3 linked regions of the Sus scrofa genome follow. The protein of the gene in region 1 interacts with the protein of each later gene in a pairwise test. Links are inferred from orthologs where the notes say so. Each region holds a gene or a part of one and is shown in the gene's direction. Other genes may lie near its edges.

Region 1 (6,377 bases):
CACCAGCCTATGCCAGAGCCACAGCAATGCCAGATCCAAGCCACGTCTGCAACCTACACCACAGCTTGCAGCAACTCTGGATCCTTAACCCACTGAGTGAGGCCAGGGATCAAACCCGCAACCTCATGGTTCCTCGTCAGGTTCATTTCCGCTGCACCATAATGGGAACTCCTTTTTTTTTTTTTTTTTTTTTTTTTTGAAGTCTTTCTTAACATTCTCTCCATACATATAAAATTCATCATCCCCTCTACAGTACTTGTATGGTGCATTTTACAGACTTCTGTTTCAGTACTTATATTGCATTGCAATTATTTTTTATAACCCTATGGAGTATACATTCTTCCAGAATAATAACTAATTGCTCTCTTGTACATTTTCCCCCACTTTCCCAGTACCTAGCAAAAAAACCCAAACTCTAGCACAGGGTATTACCTTTATATCCATTCCTTTATCTTCATGTGATTAGGGAAGGTCAGTCTAAGATCCAGCCATCATCTGTACTGTCTTGATTCCACCTTTCAGAAGGATGAGATCTGGTTTGCTGACTCATCTAGAACAGAATGGTAGGAATAGAAAATCTGTATCTCTGATTTATTAACATTTATACCTGAATTTACCGAACTTAAACACTAGAATCCAAGAAGGAGTAGCCTCTGGAACGTACCATAAGAAATATTTCTTATGCCCTTAAAGAACTCTTTGTGATAAGCGTAAGCAAATGATCTCTACAACTCCCATTCCTATTCTTTTTCCACTAATAGTTTTTTTTTCCTTTTATTGCATTAGAGATAAGTAGCATATAAAATATTTTTATATGAAAAACTGCACATAAAAGTTAGCTGCATGCTCAAAACTAAAATGTGAAGTCTGCATTGAGGGGAGAGGTAATTTGTGGGGGAAAGATTATAGTTGTTTCTAAGGAGACTTCATGGAACTGACCTGGTTCAACCAAGCACTGAAACCTTGTTTTAAAATGCTCTGTAATCGCTATGGAGCTATTGTTTACATTTACACAGCATGAGGTGGGAAAATTAATTCAAGAGCTGGCGTGTAATTTTGCGGTCCCTGAAATTTATCTTGCCCCTTGGTTAATGAGGAGGTTTTGAGACTGTTGAGACTGAACTTTTCCACTTCTGCCTACCATTCTTCAGGTTAACCCATCCAGAAGTTCCATATGGTAGTGGAGCCACATCATCCACTAACAATCCAGAATTTGTAGAGGATCTCTCCCAAGGTCAGTTGCTTCAGAATGAGTCTTCAAATACAGCAGAAGGCAATGAACAAAGGCACGAAGATGAGGTAAGCTGAAGCATCTGCTCCTGTTAGTGGTCTCTGAGGCTTCTGAAGAGGCAGTCAGCAAGGCAGTTGATCCAGGTGTTCATCCCCTGGCCTCCTTACATTCTGCAGAATTTTCTGTTTTCTGTTTCTTGTTTTACACAGACTACATATTAATGGTTTTAATATGATACAGAGAAAGGTAGACTCTTTTTTCCCCTGCCTAAAAAATTTATACCTGCATCAGATTAGTTGCTCAACAAGTACTTACTGAGTTGAATGATTTAATTGAATAAGTAATTAATGAGGAGTCCAGGTGCTGTTATTCAAGACCACACACTTCTCACAAAACCCTGCAGCATGCAGTCATATGTGGCCAAAGGATTGTCATTCACCCTCCCATTGGGGGCATCTTTCTTTAATTCACACAGAGGTTCTATATGGGCCTGGGCAGTCATGCCCTTGTTGGACTTTCATTGTTCCTCAGAAATGACTGATTGCCTAGTCTATGTTTTAAGGTTTTTTGGGTTTTTTTTTTAAGCCATGAAAGAGTACCACCATTGATTTTTGTCTTTATTCTTATTTTTGAAAGAGCTGATTCTTCTCATGCTGGCATTCTTAAAATTTTTGATGAATGCTTAAAGCTTCTTAAACATCTTAAGTCCTTAGTAGCTTTACTGTTAAATGTTACTAGGTTTGCAAAACAAAACAGGAAGGAAAAAAATCTGATACAAAATATATCATTTGCCCCATGCTGAACTATTGTACCATTTTAAATATGGAGGAGTACAGTATGGTAAGTAGTATTTAGATATTTTTGTCCCATTTTGCTTATCTTTTTCTTCTCTGAAATAAGAATGCTTATATCTATAAAACTTTAAAATTATTAATTGATAGGCTATGTGAATTTGTAAAATTTGCGCAAAAGTACCTTGCATCTTGTTTATCATTTATTTTTATTTTTTTATTTTTTTTGTCTATTTAGGGCTGCACCGGCGACACATGGAGGTTCCCAGGCTAAGGGTCTAATCAGAGCTGTAGCCACCGGCCTATGCCAGAGCCACAGCAACGCGGGATCCGAGCCGTGTCTGCAATCTACACCACAGCTCACAGCAACGCTGGGTCCTTAACCCACTGAGCAAGGCCAGGGATTGAACCCGCAACCTCATGGTTCCTAGTCGGATTCATTAACCACTGAGCCACGACGGGAACTCCCCTTGCATCTTGTTTAAAAGGACAAAGAAAAAATACTTCAGTCCTCTTTTGAAATTTTTGGGGGGATGATTTCATCTTTTTTTTTTTTCTTCTTTTTTTCTGTCTTTTTAGGGCCGCACCCATGGCATATGGAGGTTCCCAGGCTAGGAGTCCAATCTAAGCTGTAGCTGCCGGCCTAAGCCAGAGCCACAGCAACGCGGGATCTTAGCCGCATCTTCGACCTCACTACAGCTCATGGCAACACTGGGTCCTTAACCCACTGAGCAAGGCCAGAGATTGAACCCGTGTCCTCATGGATGCTAGTCAGGTTCATTAACCCCTGAGCCACGACGGGAATTCTGGGGGTGATTTCATCTTTTTTGCTATAACTAGTAACATTAAGACCTCTGCCTTTAAAAATTAACGTCTTGGAGTTCCCGTCGTGGCTCAGTGGTTAACAAATCCAACTAGGAACCATGAGGTTGCAGGTTCCATCCAAGCCTAGGAACCTCCATATACTGCGGGAGCGGCCCAAGGAAATGGCAAAAAGACAAATAAATAAATAAATAAATAACATCTTAAGATATAACTCATCAAGCCAAAGAAGTAGTCTTCATTTTGGATATATTATAGTTGCTGAAATTTTTCTAAGTCTTAGAAATTAATTTTAAAATCTGTATTGCTCTCTGCTGTGGGAAATAAACTGATCTTTGAGTGGTATCAGTGAGAAAGACCCTTCATCAATGATGTTAGTTCCTGTGCTACATTTGCCTGTTCTTTTGCCCAGTGCATGGTACAGCATCTTGTTCTGATCTACTGTAGCAATGTCTGCTTCTCTGGCACAGAGTTCTGTATGTGCTGCATTCTCATTTAGAACATTCCCCAGCCAGGAGTCAGGACTTGTTAAGTTCATATGAAGGCCAAGGCTTTTTGAGCATGGTACCTCTTATTCTTATCTGTTGGGGTTAGCCCTAAAATAGCCCCTGAGTGTAACAGTTTGTAACATAGCACATAAAAAGGTCTGCAAGTGAACCCTCTGGAGTCCCTTCTTGAAAACTGCATTGCAGTCATTTGTACCTATAACAGATTTGGAAAGCTTGAAAATATCCAGGGCCTTAATGGTGGGAAAATGCAATTCTTAATCCTGTTTTGTTTTTTGGTGTTGATTGTTGTTATTTCGGGAAATTTTTGCTATTGTAATTTGATCTAGGGTTTTTATTTCGCCTTTGTAGCAAAGAAGTAAACGAGGAGGTTGGTCCAAAGGAAGAAAAAGGAAGAAACCTCTTCGAGACAGCAATGCACCCAAATCCCCCCTCACAGGATATGTCCGGTTCATGAACGAGCGTCGAGAACAGCTTCGAGCAAAAAGACCAGAAGTCCCATTTCCAGAAATTACAAGGATGTTAGGCAATGAATGGAGTAAACTTCCTCCTGAGGAAAAACAGGTAATTGTTCCTATTCCTGATCCTTTGCTTGGTTTTGATTAAATCTCAAAAATACCTTATATCAGAAAAGCAAAGAAAATTGCCTGTTGATTCTTCACTTTTGTCATGGTGCCTAGGAGAACAGAATAGCAGGGTCCTTCACAGCTCTTTTCTCCAGCTCTGTGGTTTTTACACTCTTTCCGAGTCTGCTGCAGGGGTGTGAGCAGGAGGGACTCTAGGACCCCCCTCAACCAAAGCAACTCCACATTTATTTGCTTTATGTCCTAAAAATTCATAAAAGATTTTTGTAAAAAGTAGTTCACCAATAAGAAATCTGTCAACATAATTTTATTCTATGGAGTTAAATGAATAAAGTCATGAGATAAATGAGAAAAGGTCCTTTGATAAAATTTTGTTCACATGAAATTTTTAAGAAAAAGATTTTACTGCTTTAATATAAACTTTTTTAACTGGAGTTCTGGCAGATTTAACCTACTATGGAAAATAAAGCAAAAACTATTTGAATTCTTTCTCCTCCAAGACAGAAACTAACCCTATTGCCAAACTGAAACAAATCCATTTGTTGGAGAGATTTGAGTGGAATTAAAGACAAGATAACCACGAACTCATTGAAATGCCACAGAAGTGGTGTGATGGTAATGACTGTGGGAATAGTTTTGGGTTAAAAGGTCCCAGTATTCTCAGCATCTGAAATATATCTATATTTCTTTTATGCCTTACATTCTTTAAAAAGGACTCCAAACAGACTAAAACCAAATTGGAAAATACTCTTGGGAATTAACTGAATTCAAAAAATTTCAAAGAGATCAGATTGAGTTGCAATTTGGAGCTCTGTGCTTGTGGTAGCAAGCTAATAGAAAACAGCGTGTATCATCCATTGTTTTAGTGCTAATGTATAAAGGGATCATGAGCTGTACATACTAGGCTACGCTTTTCTCTTTAATTTTTTTATTTCAAAATTAGTACCTGCTCATTGTTTAAAATATTTTCAGGCAGTACAGAAGTATGTAGAGAAAAAAGCAGAAGTCATCTCCAGTGACAGCCCACGGGGATAATTAACAGTAGTTAAGTAGGGCAAGGGTTTTTGTGTTTGTCTTTGTTTTTAATTTTTTCTTTCAATGTAATTTTTCAAATATGCAAGAAGTTACAAACGTAGAATAGAACAGAGTACACCCAAATACCCTTTACCCAGATTAATCTAGTATTAACACTTTTTCTCTATTTGCACATGCTCATACTCTCCCGGGAAAGCTTGGGCACACTCGTGCATTCTCTCTCCCCTCACACACACACACACACACACACACATACATCATAGTCCTATACCCTTAAATATTTCAGTGTGGATTTCCTAAGAACAGACATATTCTCTCACATAACCACAGTTTAGTTAACAACCTTACTAAACACTATACTTTTATCTGACCTACCATCCATATTCCAATTTTGTTGGTTGACCTAACATCATTCCTCTGTAACATTTTCCCCCTTCAGTTCAGATTCCAGTCCAGGGGGTCAGCTTCTGCATTTAGTAGTCAAATCTCTAGATTCCTTTAATCTGGACTATTTCCACAGCCTTTGGTTGTCACATTGATATATTTTAAGAATACAGTCTGTCCCTCTTCCTGCCCCTCCTTTTTGTTTACTTTTAACAGAACATTCCTCATTTTGATTTTGGATGTTTCCTCCTGATTAGATTGAGGTTATGCATTCTTGGTCAGAATACCACATAGATGGTGTTGGTCCTGCTCAGGGTATCATGTATGCAGGCACACGATATCCTTTTGTGTAATGTTAATGTTGCTCACTTAATAAAGTTTTTTATTCTCCCTTATAACTAACAATCAATCTGTGGAAAGACCACTTTAAGAACACGAAAATAGTCTGTTCCACATCAAAATTTTGCCCTAGATTTAGCATTCATTGATGACTTTTGCCTGATCTAATCTTTACCATCATTTTGCAAAATGATGATTTTCCAACTCTCTCACTCCCTCAGCATTTACCAGTCAGCCCTCGGTATTCCAGTCTAAGCAAGAGCCCTCTTCCTCCCTCCATTTATGTATTTGTTTGTTATTTATTTACTATTGGTATCGGCAAAAGAATTTTTTCCCAATAGTTTATAATTTATTACTAAATACTCTAAGATATTCATTTAGGTATTTTGATACTTGAATTGTCCCAGAGTTAGCCAGTCGGTTGTCCCCTACATCCGGCTCTTAATGTGGGATAAAGCTTTTAACATATTTCTGACTTCATTTAGAAGCAGTGTTTTTATACTTTATTTCTTAAACTTAATTGATGAATGAAAAGTACAAGGCATTAAACAAAATTATCCTAGTAGATCAATGAACTTTGTTTAAATAATTCATATCACAAAGCATGTAGATACAGGCTCTCTCACAGTAGTTCGTTTTAGGTCCACTGGATGAGGTCATTCTTTTTTATGCTCTTTATGTCTCC
Region 2 (6,477 bases), on another chromosome or scaffold:
ATCCGGACCCACTCATATGGTCCCATTTTATCTTAATGAACTTGTTATGGGCCCTGCCCCCACATACAGCCACATTCTGAGGTCCTGGGGTTAGAACTTGACTATGGGACTTTGGGGCATTTTTTTCAGTCCAGCTGCCTGCGTGCTGGGTCCCTCTGGCTGCCCCGACAGACACGTAGTCACGCTGCTGGTGGGAACAGCCTCAGGTCTCAGCTGAACGAGTGAAGCGTGAGGGTGAGCATGTGTGGGGGACACTCTCTCCCGGGCCGCCCACTCTGCAAGTGGGTCGCTGCCTTTGAAGCACGAGATGGGAGATTGAAGGACAGATGCCCAGGACAAGTCCCTCTTTTGCACCCTTCAGGGCGCAGAAATACCGAGGTGAAAGTGTGTAGTCTGCAGGGTCTTTTTTTATTGATTTTTATTTTTTCCATCATAGGTGGAAATTTTCTACTGTACAGCAAAGTGACCCAGTCACACATAAATATATACATTCTTTTTCCCACATTATCATGCTCCATCATAAGTGACTAGATATAGTTCCCAGTGCTACACAGCAGGATTTCATTGCTTACCCATTCCAAAGGCAATAGTTTGCATCTATGAACCCCAGACTCCCAGTCCATCCCATTCCCGCCCCCCTCCCTTGGAACCACACGTCTCTTCTCCAAGTCCATGAGTTTCTTCTCTGTGGAAAGGTTCATTTGTGCCATATATTAGATTCCAGATCTAAGTCATCTCATCTGGTAATTGTCTTTCTCTTTCTGACTTACTTCACTTAGTAGGAGAGTCTCTAGGTCCATCCATGTTGCTGCAAATGGCATTATTTTGTTCGTTAGTCCTTGGGGTCTTAAGTCGAGTCTGGGAGCCCTGGGGTGCGGGTGCTGCTGGGGGTGGGAGGCGCTTTGGACATTGGAAACTGACAACCAAGTTATGTAGTGATTTGCTGGTTTCCGCTTAGGAGGATCTGCCTCAAGTCAAGTCGAGACAGTAAACCCTGACAGTGTAAAAGCAGGGTTTCAGGAAAAAAATGAAAATAAAAAATAAATAAAAGCAGTGGTTCAGCATGACAGAAGCAGGGATGAAGGAAGGGGGTGGGGGATTCATAGCTTGATCTTTTAGAGAGAAGCAAGAGATTCCTCTCAAGCTGCTTGGCCAAGAAACAGAGGATTCCTGTGTATTTATTTTTTGAATAGTAAAAACATATACAAGAGTTCCTGTTGTGGCTCAGCGGTAATGAATCTGACTAGTATCCATGAGGATGCAGGTTCAATTCCTGGCCTCACTCAGTGGGTTAAGGATCCGGCATTGCCAGGAGCTGTAGTGTAGGTCGCAGATGCAGCTCAGACCTAGCATTGCTGTGGCTGTGGTGTAGGCTGGCAGCTGTAGCTCCGATTGGACCCCTAGCCTGGGAACTTCCATATGCCGAGGATGCGGCCCTAAAAGCCACCCCCCCCAAAAAAGGCAAAAAGACAAAACGGAGGGAGTCCTCACTGTGGCTTATCGGGTTAAGAACCGACAGAGCGTCTGTGAGGATGTGGGTTTGATCCCTGGCATCGATAGTGGGTTAAGGATCCCGAGTTGCTGTGAGCTGTGGTCGCTGATGCTTCTTGGACCCTGGCTGTGGCGTAGCCCTCAGCTGAAGCTCTGATTCATCCCGTAGCCCGGGTCCTTATGCCACAGGCATGGCCATAAAAAAAGAAAAATAAATAAAGTGAGATGGCAAAGAGAAAGCTGTATTAATGCCTAGTAGGAGTTACTCCAGGGTCAGTCTTTTTTTTTTTTTTTTTTTTTTTTTGCTACACCCGTGGCGTGTGGAAATTCCCAGTCCAGCGATCAAACCTGAGCCACAGCAGCGACCTGAGCCTCTATCTACAGTGACACCACCAGATCCTTAAGCCTGCAGGGGCCTGAGATTTTACCATGAACACCGAAGACACTGTGGACTCTTGGTGCTGATTCTAGATCCACTCCCCACCCCCACCCCCAACCAGAGGGTCTCTCAAACAAAATCAAGAAGGGGCTCCTTCAAAGTTTTTGGATGCCTGTTCTAAGGATGAAGTCAGAATATGGTGCCTGAGGAGTTCCCGTCATGGCACAGTGGAAACGAATTCAACTAGGAACCATGAGGTTGCGGGTTTGATCCCCGGCCTCACTCATTGGGTTAAGGATCCAGTGTTGCTTTGAGCAGTGGTGTAGGTTGCAGACGCGGCTTGGATCTGGTATTGCTGTGGCTCTGGTGTAGGCTGGAGGCTACAGCTCCGATTCGACCCCTAGCCTGGGAACCTCCATATGCCATGGGAGCGGCCCTAAAAAGACCAAAAAAAAGAAAAAGAAAAAAGAGAATATGGTGCCCGAAAGAGAAAAGCACGGCTCAGAACAGGGGGTGTGGGGTGCAGTCAGCGTGACAGTATCGCCTGGAGCTGACGAGGGCGGTGAGAGTAAGGATTCCATCCTTAAGTCTTGTACAATCCCCAGTGGGCCTCATTCTCTCGATTTCAAGTGGCCATTTTTCCACATCTCCACCTTCTGGAAGTAGGGTATTCCTTCCAGTGTGAGGTCGGCTGGCCCTGACTCCCTGGAGCATCCCCGCCTCCCTAGGGGTACACTGCACCGCCACCGCCCCGAAGGCATCCCAGCCACGCTGAGACGTCTCATCACCATGATGGCCAGAGTCCGGCCTGTCCAGCCCTGGGTGCGAGACAGGCAGGGGACGTTCCTCCGGCCCACTCAGCGGCTGCCGGCAGTGGGGCGCCCTCCCCGGCCCCGAAGTCCCCAGCTGGGCCCCCTGTCTTGCAGGTGTCGCCACCGCCGGCCGTCATGGGCAAGCAGAACAGCAAGCTGCGGCCCGAGGTGCTGCAGGACCTGCGCGAGAACACCGAGTTCACGGACCACGAGCTGCAGGAGTGGTACAAGGGCTTCCTCAAAGACTGCCCCACCGGCCACCTGACCGTGGACGAGTTCAAGAAGATCTACGCCAACTTCTTCCCCTACGGCGACGCCTCCAAGTTCGCCGAGCACGTCTTCCGCACCTTCGACACCAACGGCGACGGCACCATCGACTTCCGGGAGTTCATCATCGCGCTGAGCGTGACGTCGCGGGGCAAGCTGGAGCAGAAGCTCAAGTGGGCCTTCAGCATGTACGACCTGGACGGCAACGGCTACATCAGCCGCAGCGAGATGCTGGAGATCGTGCAGGTGCGTCTCCGAGGCCCCGCCCACCCAGGGCTCGGGGCCGCCACGCCCGTAGCCGTGGCCGTGGCCGTGGTGATGGTGGCAGAGCCCGGGTTTCCTCGGGCCCCTTGGACAGAGACGCACGGAGGTGGCCGGCGGGGCTGCTGAGCCCTCCCATGGCAGTGTCCCAGAGAGCAGGTGCTCGGTCCTTTCTGGGGCTAGTGAGATGGTTCTCCTTGCTGGGTCTCAGGGTCTGAGTCTTTTTTTTTTTTTTTTTTGGCTTTTAACGGAGGTGCAGCCATCCCGTAGTCAGGTGTTTGAGGCCCGGCGTGCCGCGTGATGGGCCGTGCCCGCGTCTGGCCGGGTCCTCCCCCTCCGCCGCAGTCCAGCCCGCAGAAAGCCCGAGAACTGCCCCGCCTCCCGCCCCCAGACAACCCCTGTCTTACAGCCATCACCTCGGGTCATTTCCTCTGTTCTTGAACTTCACGTAAATGAGTCCGGCTTCCTCTGGCTCGTGTGCTGTCTGCCATATCCTTCCTCGCTACTGGGAGGAGCGGGCAACTTTCCAGCTAGGGAGGGGTCCGCAGCCCCGACTGCTGTGGGCGAGGCCGAGGCGGCAGCTCGCGCCTGGGCCCCACCCGTCCAGGGACACCCCGGAATCGCTGAGCACGAGGTGTGTGTGCCCCTTTGCAGGCCATTTACAAAATGGTGTCGTCGGTGATGAAGATGCCGGAGGACGAGTCCACCCCTGAGAAACGCACGGACAAGATCTTCAGACAGATGGACACCAATAATGACGGTAAGACCCCGGCGTCAGTGCCTCGGAGCACAGATGCGTGTGGGAGCCTTCCCTCCTGCTCTGCAGCTTCTCGGGCCTCACCCAGCCATGCAGCTGCATTCAGGGAAGAGCCGGGGTTCGGAGTCCGGGTGCCTGGGTGAGCGTCCTGCCCCCCTGATCTGTAGTCTCCTTGCTTCTAGAACCGGGGGACGGTAGGCCCCGGCTGTCCAGGGAGAGGCGCAGGTGCAGTGTCACCGCGCCCTGCAGGGGTGGGGACCAAGCGTCCCATGTGGTGGGGCCCTGGGAACTGCATCCCTTTGCTCTCATTATCCTGACTGGAGGGCTCCCAGTGGCCCCAGGGACTCTGCGGGGAGGTGCTGGCTGGAGCAGCTGTGCGGGGCCTCTGGGCTCATGCCACGGCAGAGGTGGCGCTTCCAGGAGGGGCGGTGGCAGCCGCACAATGAGGACTCAGTGTGTTTCCTGCTCTGCACTGGCTGCGAGCTTCTGCGGGGCCCACAGGGGGAGCGTAGCTGTGAAACTCCACGGGTCTACGCCTCTTAAGCAGTGTTAAGTGCCGTCCCAGAGCCTGGTCCGATTTGCTTTTGATCAATAAAGAAATGCAGCATTTAGACAAGAAAAAAGAGAAAATACCCCCTGGGCTGTGCTGGAGATGGAAAATAAGCAAATGGACAGAAGCGTGCTCTCTAGACCCCGAAGTGAGGTGCGAGGAGGAGGCCGAGGGCTGCGCCCTCGGGGGAGGGGTGCAGCGGCGCGACCGCAGCTGGAGAGCCTCTTATGCAGAGGCAGGAAGTGGGCTCCCCAAGGCACAAGTTGCCACAATGCAGGGTCTGCTTCAAACTCGGTCCCTCCCACATCTGTATCCTGGGAGCATGTGTTTGGCGCCAGCGTCGGTGGCTCTGGAACTCACCTTTCTACGGCACCCGGTCCCAGGAGTAACAAGGTCCTCGATGCAGGAGGCACCGAGGACGAGGCAGGCACCAGCAGGCCCTTGGCAGGCCTCTGCCTAACCCTCCCACCCCGCAAAGCAGGTAGTGCAGGAGCAGGAAGGGGACTCAGCCGGAGCAGCGGGCCGAGCCTCCGCCAATGGATGGCCAAGCTGGACGGGCCGGAACCACACCCCGGGCAGTGGCTGGGAGGCTCTGGATTGGTTATGGGCTAGAGACAGAGGCCATGTTCTTTCCGGACAAGACACGTCGTTCTTAAATAAAGCGTGGAGAACTTTCTAGAAGGATTTAGCTTGCCCCACCAGCCACAGCGTGCAGCCATACTGGGGACAGCCTTTGAGGGGCCCCGTGCTGTGCCACGAACAGTGAAAGCCAAAAAGGGTTTTCCAGAAATGCTCTTTTTTTTCTTTTCTTTTTTTTTTTTTTTTAATGTTAGGGCCGTACCCACAGCATATGGAAGTTCCCAAGCTAGGGGTTGAATCAGAGCTGCAGCCACCGGCCTACGCCACAGCCACAGCAACAGCAGATCCAAGCCGCATCTGTGACTTACAGCTTGCAGTCACGCCAGATCCTTAACCCACAGAGCGAGGCCTGGGATCGAACCCGCATCCTCATGGATACTAGTCGGGTTCTCACGCTGAGCCTCAACAGGAACTCCCCAGAAATGCCGTTGAAACGAGTGGAGCCTGGACAGCATCCAGGACTCAAGGGCGCGTGGGGACAGTGACACAGGAATGGTGACAGCACACTAACTCCCATTTCTCCCCCAGGCAAACTGTCCCTGGAAGAATTCATTAAAGGTGCCAAGAGCGACCCGTCCATCGTCCGGTTGTTACAGTGTGACCCCAGCAGCGCCAGTCAGTTCTAAGGGCCCGGCATGTGGACAGTGCAGAGAAACACAAGCTTGTCTTGCCATTTAAGCTTTGCTTGCGACAGTGGATGCCTCCTCAGTCATTCCTGCTCTCCCAGGGCAGCCAGGCGCCGCGTGGCACCTGCCCGCCCGGCGGCCGCGCCTCCCCCCCTCCGCCCGGCCTCCTCCCGCCCCCTCCCGGGTCCCTCCTGGGCGACTCCCCGGGATGTGTTTACACGCAGGGCTCCCAGCATCCTTGCTTCTGGGCCACCTCCCGGCCTGCAGGGAGCCCAGAGGACGCGCCGAGGATACTGGCGGGACTTTTCTAAGATCGCGCCAAGGCCAGCCGACTTCTCTTGTGATCGCAGGTGACTCTGGGAAAGATGGAGACAAGAATGGAGGGAACATAGACGGGCAGCCCCCCCCACTCCCTCTCCTCCCCCCACCCCGTGCATGGCTCCACCCAGCTCGTTCGTTCCTCTCTGACCAAAGCCTCTTGCTCATATATATATATATATACCAAGGTCTTCTTTCTTTTAATATATAAGTTATACGTATGGTGAAGTGACGTGTAAAGTGTAAGTCCCGTATTTAATGCCTCAATTGCCTTTGAAGCGTGGTTCCCTCGTGGCCTGTGCCCCCTCCGAGCCTGGTTATTTTGTGGTATTTATGCCCTCAATCTACCCCTATCCAGAGGACCTGCATGCGTGCCC
Region 3 (6,477 bases), on another chromosome or scaffold:
GCCACTCAGGGGTATTCAGCTGATGGCAAGGCTGATACAGAGAATTTGTGATGACTTCACTAGTGTTAGCTAGGACCAGGGGGCTCCTCACCCTCTCCATGTAGTCTCAGAACTTCTCCACTATATTTTATTTTATTTATTTTATTTTATTTGTCTTCTTGCCATTTCTTGTGCTACTCCTGTGGCATATGGAGGTTCCCAGGCTAGGGGTCCAATCGGAGCTGTGGCCACCGGCCTATGCCAGAGCCACAGCAACGCAGGATCTGAGCTGCGTCTGCGACCTACACCACAGCTCACAGCAACGCCGGATCCTTAACCCACTGAGCGAGGCCAGGGATCGAACCCGTAACCTCATAGTTCCTAGTCAGATTCGTTAACCACTGAGCCACAACAGGAACTCCCCCACTATATTTTACATAGTGGCTCAGGGCTTCAAGAGCAAGTGTTTCCAAAGACCTGGGTGGACTCCTCAAGACTCCATATGATTTAGGCCTGGAAGTCCCATAATACCACACATTCCATTGGTCAAGCAATTCACTTAGGCCAGCCTGGATTAAAAGTGATAAAGAATTTACAGGGAGTTCCCATTGTGGCTCAGCGGGTTAAGAGCCCAACATAGTGTCTGTGAGGATGCAAGTTCATCCCTGGCTTTGCTAGGTGGGTCGGGGATCCAGCATTGCTGTGAGCTGTGGTGTAGGATGCAGATGCTGCTCAGATCCTGCCTTGCTATACGGCTGTGGCATAGGCTGGCAGCTGCAGCTCCGATTCGACTCTTAGCCTGGGAACTTCCATATGCTGTAGCTGTGGCCCTCAAAAAAAAAAAAAAAAAAAAAAAAAAAAAGTGACATGCTCTGTGTTCTTAAATGCCTCCAAGGGCCCTAGCAATAGACTCAAAAATGGCCTGGAGCATTTAGGATGAAGCCTGAGAGCAGTGCAGTGAAATCGTGGGGACAGGAGCCACACAGCTATGGGTTGGGGATTGAGAGGGTGCTGAGTTGGCAGAGATTTGTGAATAAAAAGGCAGGAGTAGTAACCAGAGCATGATCTAGAGTGACAGAGGTGTCCTCCTTTTTCTTTAGAGCAGGAAAAGCTCAAACATGAATAGATGGTGACAGCAAAGGACAAGTAGGTAAAAGAAGTCGGCAATTTGGGGAATGAGAGTGAGGACTGAAATGCTTGAAAGAAGTTTTCTGAGAATGTGAGAGGTGCAGAAATACAGAACTGAGGTGGCGAGATGCTAATATGAATATATTAAAAGTGGTTAATTCCCAGAATGGCTAAACCACATACTGAAATTACTGTGGTTTCAATCAATAGGGCAAACAGAGCAAGCCACATTTACATGTTTATTTTACATTATTTACACATCTTTCCTCCAAAGGGCAGGATCGATGTTTCACCTTTTCAATGCCTTCCACACAATTGGTGCTCCGTAAGTAGTGAGTAAACAAGAGCTCCCTTACCTGTATTCTGTGTTTCTTAACACATTCAAAACATAGCTAAGACCCTGCACACAAGTGAAAAATTCTTCTATGTATGCAAAACAGTCACAAAATTTATGTGTGATAGACGATGCCAACTTTTTTTGAGGAACCTGTTTACTCGAATTTAACAAACTTGGTTTCCAGCATCTCCTTCACCATAGAGGTTTAAAAATAGGAGATGAGAGGAGGAAGAGGATGCTGTAAAGGCAGGCAGGCAGGCAGACAGCAGCAGGAGGTGGCACGATGTACCATAAGTTGCCAAAAAACAGTGAAAAACCAGACTCAAAACATACCGGCCTGGGCTCTCCTGGTTTAGAGATTCACATCCTTCACTAACATATCAAGAGTCTTTAAAGTGTTTGGAGCCTCAAAAAATGTTGAGAAAATGATCCTTTGAACTGTTAAAAGAAGCATTGCTGTTCCTCATTCGGCACCACCTTCTGTTTCTCACACAGTTTGGACAGGATTTGATCAAAAATGGATATTAGGAGTTCCCGTCGTGGCGCAGTGGTTAACGAATCCGACTAGGAACCATGAGGTTTCGGGTTCGGTCCCTGCCCTGGCTCAGGGGGTTAACGATCCGGCGTTGCCGTGAGCTGTGGTGTAGGTTGCAGACGCGGCTCGGATCCCGCGTTGCTGTGGCTCTGGCGTAGGCCGGTGGCTACAGCTCCGATTAGACGCCTAGCCTGGGAACCTCCACATGCCGCGGGAGCGGCCCAAAGAAATAGCAAAAAGACAAAAAAAAAAAAAAAAAAAAAAAAAAAGGATATTAAAGCAAAAAAGCTGATGCTGAGATGGTAACCTTTATTTACTCTCCGTTCCTTTGTCCAAGCTGTTTACCTAGCTTTTAATGTCCCCTCCCCCTTTTTTCCTCCTAGTACGTCCTTTTCTTCCCTGCATGGTGAACACAAATGCCACCTCTTCCAAGAACCCCCGAGCATTGTCCAAGCGGAAGTAATCTCTTCCTCTGTTCTCCCACAACATCTCACTGTGGCTTGGCTTTGCACGGGTCACCAGACCTGGTTGTTTACATGGCTGCTTTTCCACTAAGTTATGCGCTTCTTGTGATCGGGGACCGTGACGATGACGATGTAACCACACAGCACCTGGTACAGCGCTACAGCGCTAGGCACGGAGTCGGTGCTCAGTAACTGCTCGCTGGGTTGAATCAATCTGGAAAAATCACTCGGGGCAGGGTCTCGTGCTCCAGGCACGGATGAATGATTCGGGGTGGAGGTGGTTCTTTGCATTTTTTACCTCGTAGTTACGTCGGGGCGAGCATCCAGGTGGCGGGGCCCATACCTACGGAGTAGAAATGCACCTCCGCGGCCCGCTGCAGACACCCGGGCGAAGTCGGTAGGGGGCAAGTTTCCTCCGCCCTCCCGGAACCCGGCCGTAGGGGGCGGGGCTCGAGGGGAATGAGGCCCGCTGGCCCGCCCCCTCCTCCGCGCGGCGGAAGCCCCGCCCCCAGCCGCGCGTTCGCGCAGGCGGCTCGTGCCCGCCCCCAGCCCTGCGCCCTCGCGCCCTCGCGCCCTCGCGCCGGGGGCGGGCTCGCTGCGCGTGCCGGGCGGGGAAGCGGCGCGAGCCGGGCGCCTGAGAACGTTCGCCGCGGGGGCGGCTCCGGGGCCTGAGCGGACGCCGCCGCCGCCTGAGCCGCGGGGGCCGGGCCGGAGGAGACGGAGGAGGCTGCGGCCCCCGAAGACCTTCTCGACGCCCCCAGCTCCGGCCGAGAAGTAAGTACGGTGGGGGTTGGCGGCGGCGGCGGCCGCTGGCTGCGGGAGAGGAGCGCGGTGCTGGAGCCTCGCGCTCGCGAGGGACGAGAAGGAGCCCGCGCAGCGCCCGCACCTGGGGAGCCTGCGGGGGTGCAGGGCCGGGAGCGGCGGAGACTGAGCCTGGGAGCCGGGGCCGCAGCACCGCGCGCGCTGTGAGAGGAGACGGCGCCGCGCGAGCGGTCTCCGCCGCTCCTGGCCCCCGCCGCTCCCGGCCCTGGAGGGGCGATCCGAGGGGATGGAGCGCAGCCCCCGGCTGGCGTCGCCGAGCTGTGATCCCCGGGGCCGGGGAGGGGACTCCCGGGTCCCGAGCTTGCTGTGGCCACCGGGCGCGGAGCTGGGGTGCGGGCGCTGGACTGATGCTGCCGGAGGCCGGCTGGCTGGGAGGAGGCTCTGCGTTAGGTGTTGAAGGGGGCGAAGGAGGCAGGTCCTGGCAGAGGGCAGGTGAGGCAGGCAGGCCCTGGCAGAGGGAAGGGAATTTATTTCACATCGCCCTAAAGCACTATTTCCCGAGGCGCCTAACAGTGAACCTGTCCCCCGAGGTCACCCTTTAAAGGAAAGTGCCCTGAGAGGAGGGAGGATGCAGCTATGGAATGCTTGCTGTTAAATTCCTGTGCCAGGCCTTGGGATTAGGAAGACCTTCCAGCCTTCTCAGCAAATGTTTATTGATTAGCTCTTTTCGGTCGAGAACCGTGATCCACAAAATTGTGTAAAACACAGCCATCGTTTGCTGTTTGGGTGCGGACAATCCGATTGTGAAGGTATGCGTATAAAATACAAAGCAGATTTGAGTTTTACCTCATACCGTATTCATTTTAGGTCTCTTTTTTCACAGTATTGGGAGGTTCGAGTCATAAAACTGCTTGGTTTGGGGATTCAAGTAGGAGGGTCCGAGAAGCTTGTGGGAAGAATTTGGGAGTTTTTGAAGGTGCTTTTAACATTTAAAGGGGGAGAAGGGAAAAGAGAATTGGAAATAGGTAAGAGAAGGGAAAAGGGAATTGGAAATAGATAAGAAGTTCCCTTCCTTCCTAAGTAGAATGAAACTCCATGACTGTTAACTGAATCCTCAGTGACAGGAACAGAGCCTGAGCCCCAGCAGGCACTAAATGCCTGCCTCTTGCAAAAATGAATGAACCCAGCAAGGTTTTGCTCTATTTTACACGGAACCCTGTTGATCAATTTGGTGGTAGGGATAGCTGATGAACTTTACTTGTTCTTCAGGCTCGATCTCTCCTTTTTTTTTGGCCGAGTAACCCAGGTTCTTAGATCTTCGTGGCTATAGTGACGGAGGTGTGATTTTTTTTTTTTTGGCCTTGCTGCCACTTTCACGTCTTTATTGCATGTTGGCTGCCAGGAGCTTACTCTTTGGGCCATTGCTTCAAGTCATCCCATTTCTGGCCCTCCTCTTTTCCATCACTTGGGGAAGGAGAATACTTTTGTCTAGAGAACACTTTTTCATTTTTATTCGTGTTCTTGGATCTTAGGTCTATAGTGAGAGGATATATCTCTGTTTTTTGAGGGCTGAGATTCTGCCTTTTCTCTGCCTTGGTTGGATTTCGGGACTCAGGCTCCAGGCTGCTGTTTCAATTGCCTGTGCTGCAGTGCCTGTTAGGTTACTTTGACTGCCAAATTAAAACTTGACCTTTTATGAGTTCTCTGAGGATTTTTATCACACATAAATGGAATTACCTTTGAAGGGGGTAATGTAGTCAAGGCAGTGCTGGCAGGGTTTTGAGTGTCCACTCTGTGTGAGAAACAAAATTTCTACTTAGAAAATCAGACTTAAAGTCAATAGAATGCCAGGTAACCATTTATTTTATGTCTTTAATATAAAATATCTCAGGACCTATGTTACCTCATGAAAATAAAGTATTAATTCAAATTTGGCATTCTGTAGTAAGCCTTGAAGAACTAAGTTAGTTTCAGGGCTGTGTACTTAAGAGTACAACCAGCAGGTGTCTACTGGTTCTTATTTATTTATTTATTTATTTTTAATTTAGGGCCGTGTCTACTAATATGGTGGTTTCCAGGCTAGGGGTCAAATCAGTTTCTGCTGCCAGCCTATACCACAGCCACAGCAACACCAGATCAAGCCACAATGGGAACTCCTACAGTTCTTGTTTTGGGATACCTAGGTCCTGTAATTTTGGATGCCTTGTTTCAGGTTTTCTCAATGATACTGTATTTTATTTATTTATTTATTTAATTTATATTTCTTTCTAAATCGCCTTTATTGATGTATGGTTTTCATATAATAAACTGGATAGCTGTTCCATGCAGAATTGGACGAGTTTGAAAAAAAAAATATATGTATATACAGATCTTCCTTCTTATTTATTTCTTCTTTTTTTTTTGGCCTATGCCGCAGCCACAGTGTTGTGGGATCCCAGCCACATCTGCGACCTACACCACAGCTCACAGCTGTGGCTGATCCTTAACCCACTGAGTGAGGCCAGAGATTGAACCCTCATCCTCATGGATCCTAGTCGGCTTTGTTAACCACTGAGCCCTGAAGGGAACTCCCCTCTTATTTATTTCTAATTATGCAAACATGAGGGCTGTGGCATCTAGTTGTGCAGGATGTATACTGCTAACTGTAGGGGTGCCATTCACATCCGGGTCCCTGAGCCTGGTCCCTCCTGGGGTTATATGGTGCAGCCTGTGGCTGTGTACTGCAGCCCTGCAAGTGGCTCGTGAATGCACGCTCTCTTAGAAAATGCTCGAACAGTACAGACAGACTAAAGGCCCCCTTGACCCACTCCCTTCTCCACCAAAACTGCGATTACCAGTTTGTTGTGATCCTGTCAGACCCTTCTCTCTAGGTTTTCATCTGTATGTAGGTAACGCAGACAAAAGTAGGATTTCCTGCCAGGCCCCCATTAATGACATGATACTGTACACCTTGGTCTGCAGCTTTTCTCTGACAGAATGTCTAAGGTCTTTCCATGATGGAACATAAAGATCTACCTGATTCTTGACGACTGCCCAATCCCTTATGTAGTATGCACTGGACTGCGGTTTATTAATCCTCTCATTAAGGGTCATTAAAGCTGTTTGCCGTTTCACACGTTGCTGCAGCGAGTGAAAAGTACAGCTGCTAGGTCTAAGGGGTGCCCGATTGAAATTAGTCAGTGAAGACTTAACCATGTTGCCCTTTGTGGATCTGGTTCATTTATTTTTAAATGCTGAGTACTGTTCAGTTGTGGACTTCAATCACTCTTTAT

Evidence for each region.
Region 2: the proteins of HMG20A (region 1) and HPCAL1 interact in binary tests that used the Homo sapiens proteins (3 or more experiments, as listed by UniProt). The two-hybrid records come from large-scale screens. The link is inferred for Sus scrofa from reciprocal best matches to the Homo sapiens genes HMG20A and HPCAL1.
Region 3: the proteins of HMG20A (region 1) and DTNB interact in binary tests that used the Homo sapiens proteins (3 or more experiments, as listed by UniProt). The two-hybrid records come from large-scale screens. The link is inferred for Sus scrofa from reciprocal best matches to the Homo sapiens genes HMG20A and DTNB.

Annotation. Positions count from the first base shown.
Region 1 is NC_010449.5:57,547,617-57,553,993, forward strand, and holds part of HMG20A (high mobility group protein 20A), read left to right. Parts: intron 1-1,151; coding exon 1,152-1,299; intron 1,300-3,701; coding exon 3,702-3,914; intron 3,915-6,377. UniProt on the Homo sapiens protein: Plays a role in neuronal differentiation as chromatin-associated protein. Acts as inhibitor of HMG20B. Overcomes the repressive effects of the neuronal silencer REST and induces the activation of neuronal-specific genes.
Region 2 is NC_010445.4:126,107,516-126,113,992, reverse strand, and holds HPCAL1 (hippocalcin-like protein 1), read left to right. Parts: upstream 1-2,817; coding exon 2,818-3,195; intron 3,196-3,864; coding exon 3,865-3,970; intron 3,971-5,684; coding exon 5,685-5,782; downstream 5,783-6,477. UniProt on the Homo sapiens protein: May be involved in the calcium-dependent regulation of rhodopsin phosphorylation.
Region 3 is NC_010445.4:113,226,143-113,232,619, forward strand, and holds the start of DTNB (dystrobrevin beta), read left to right. Parts: upstream 1-3,018; 5' UTR 3,019-3,217; intron 3,218-6,477.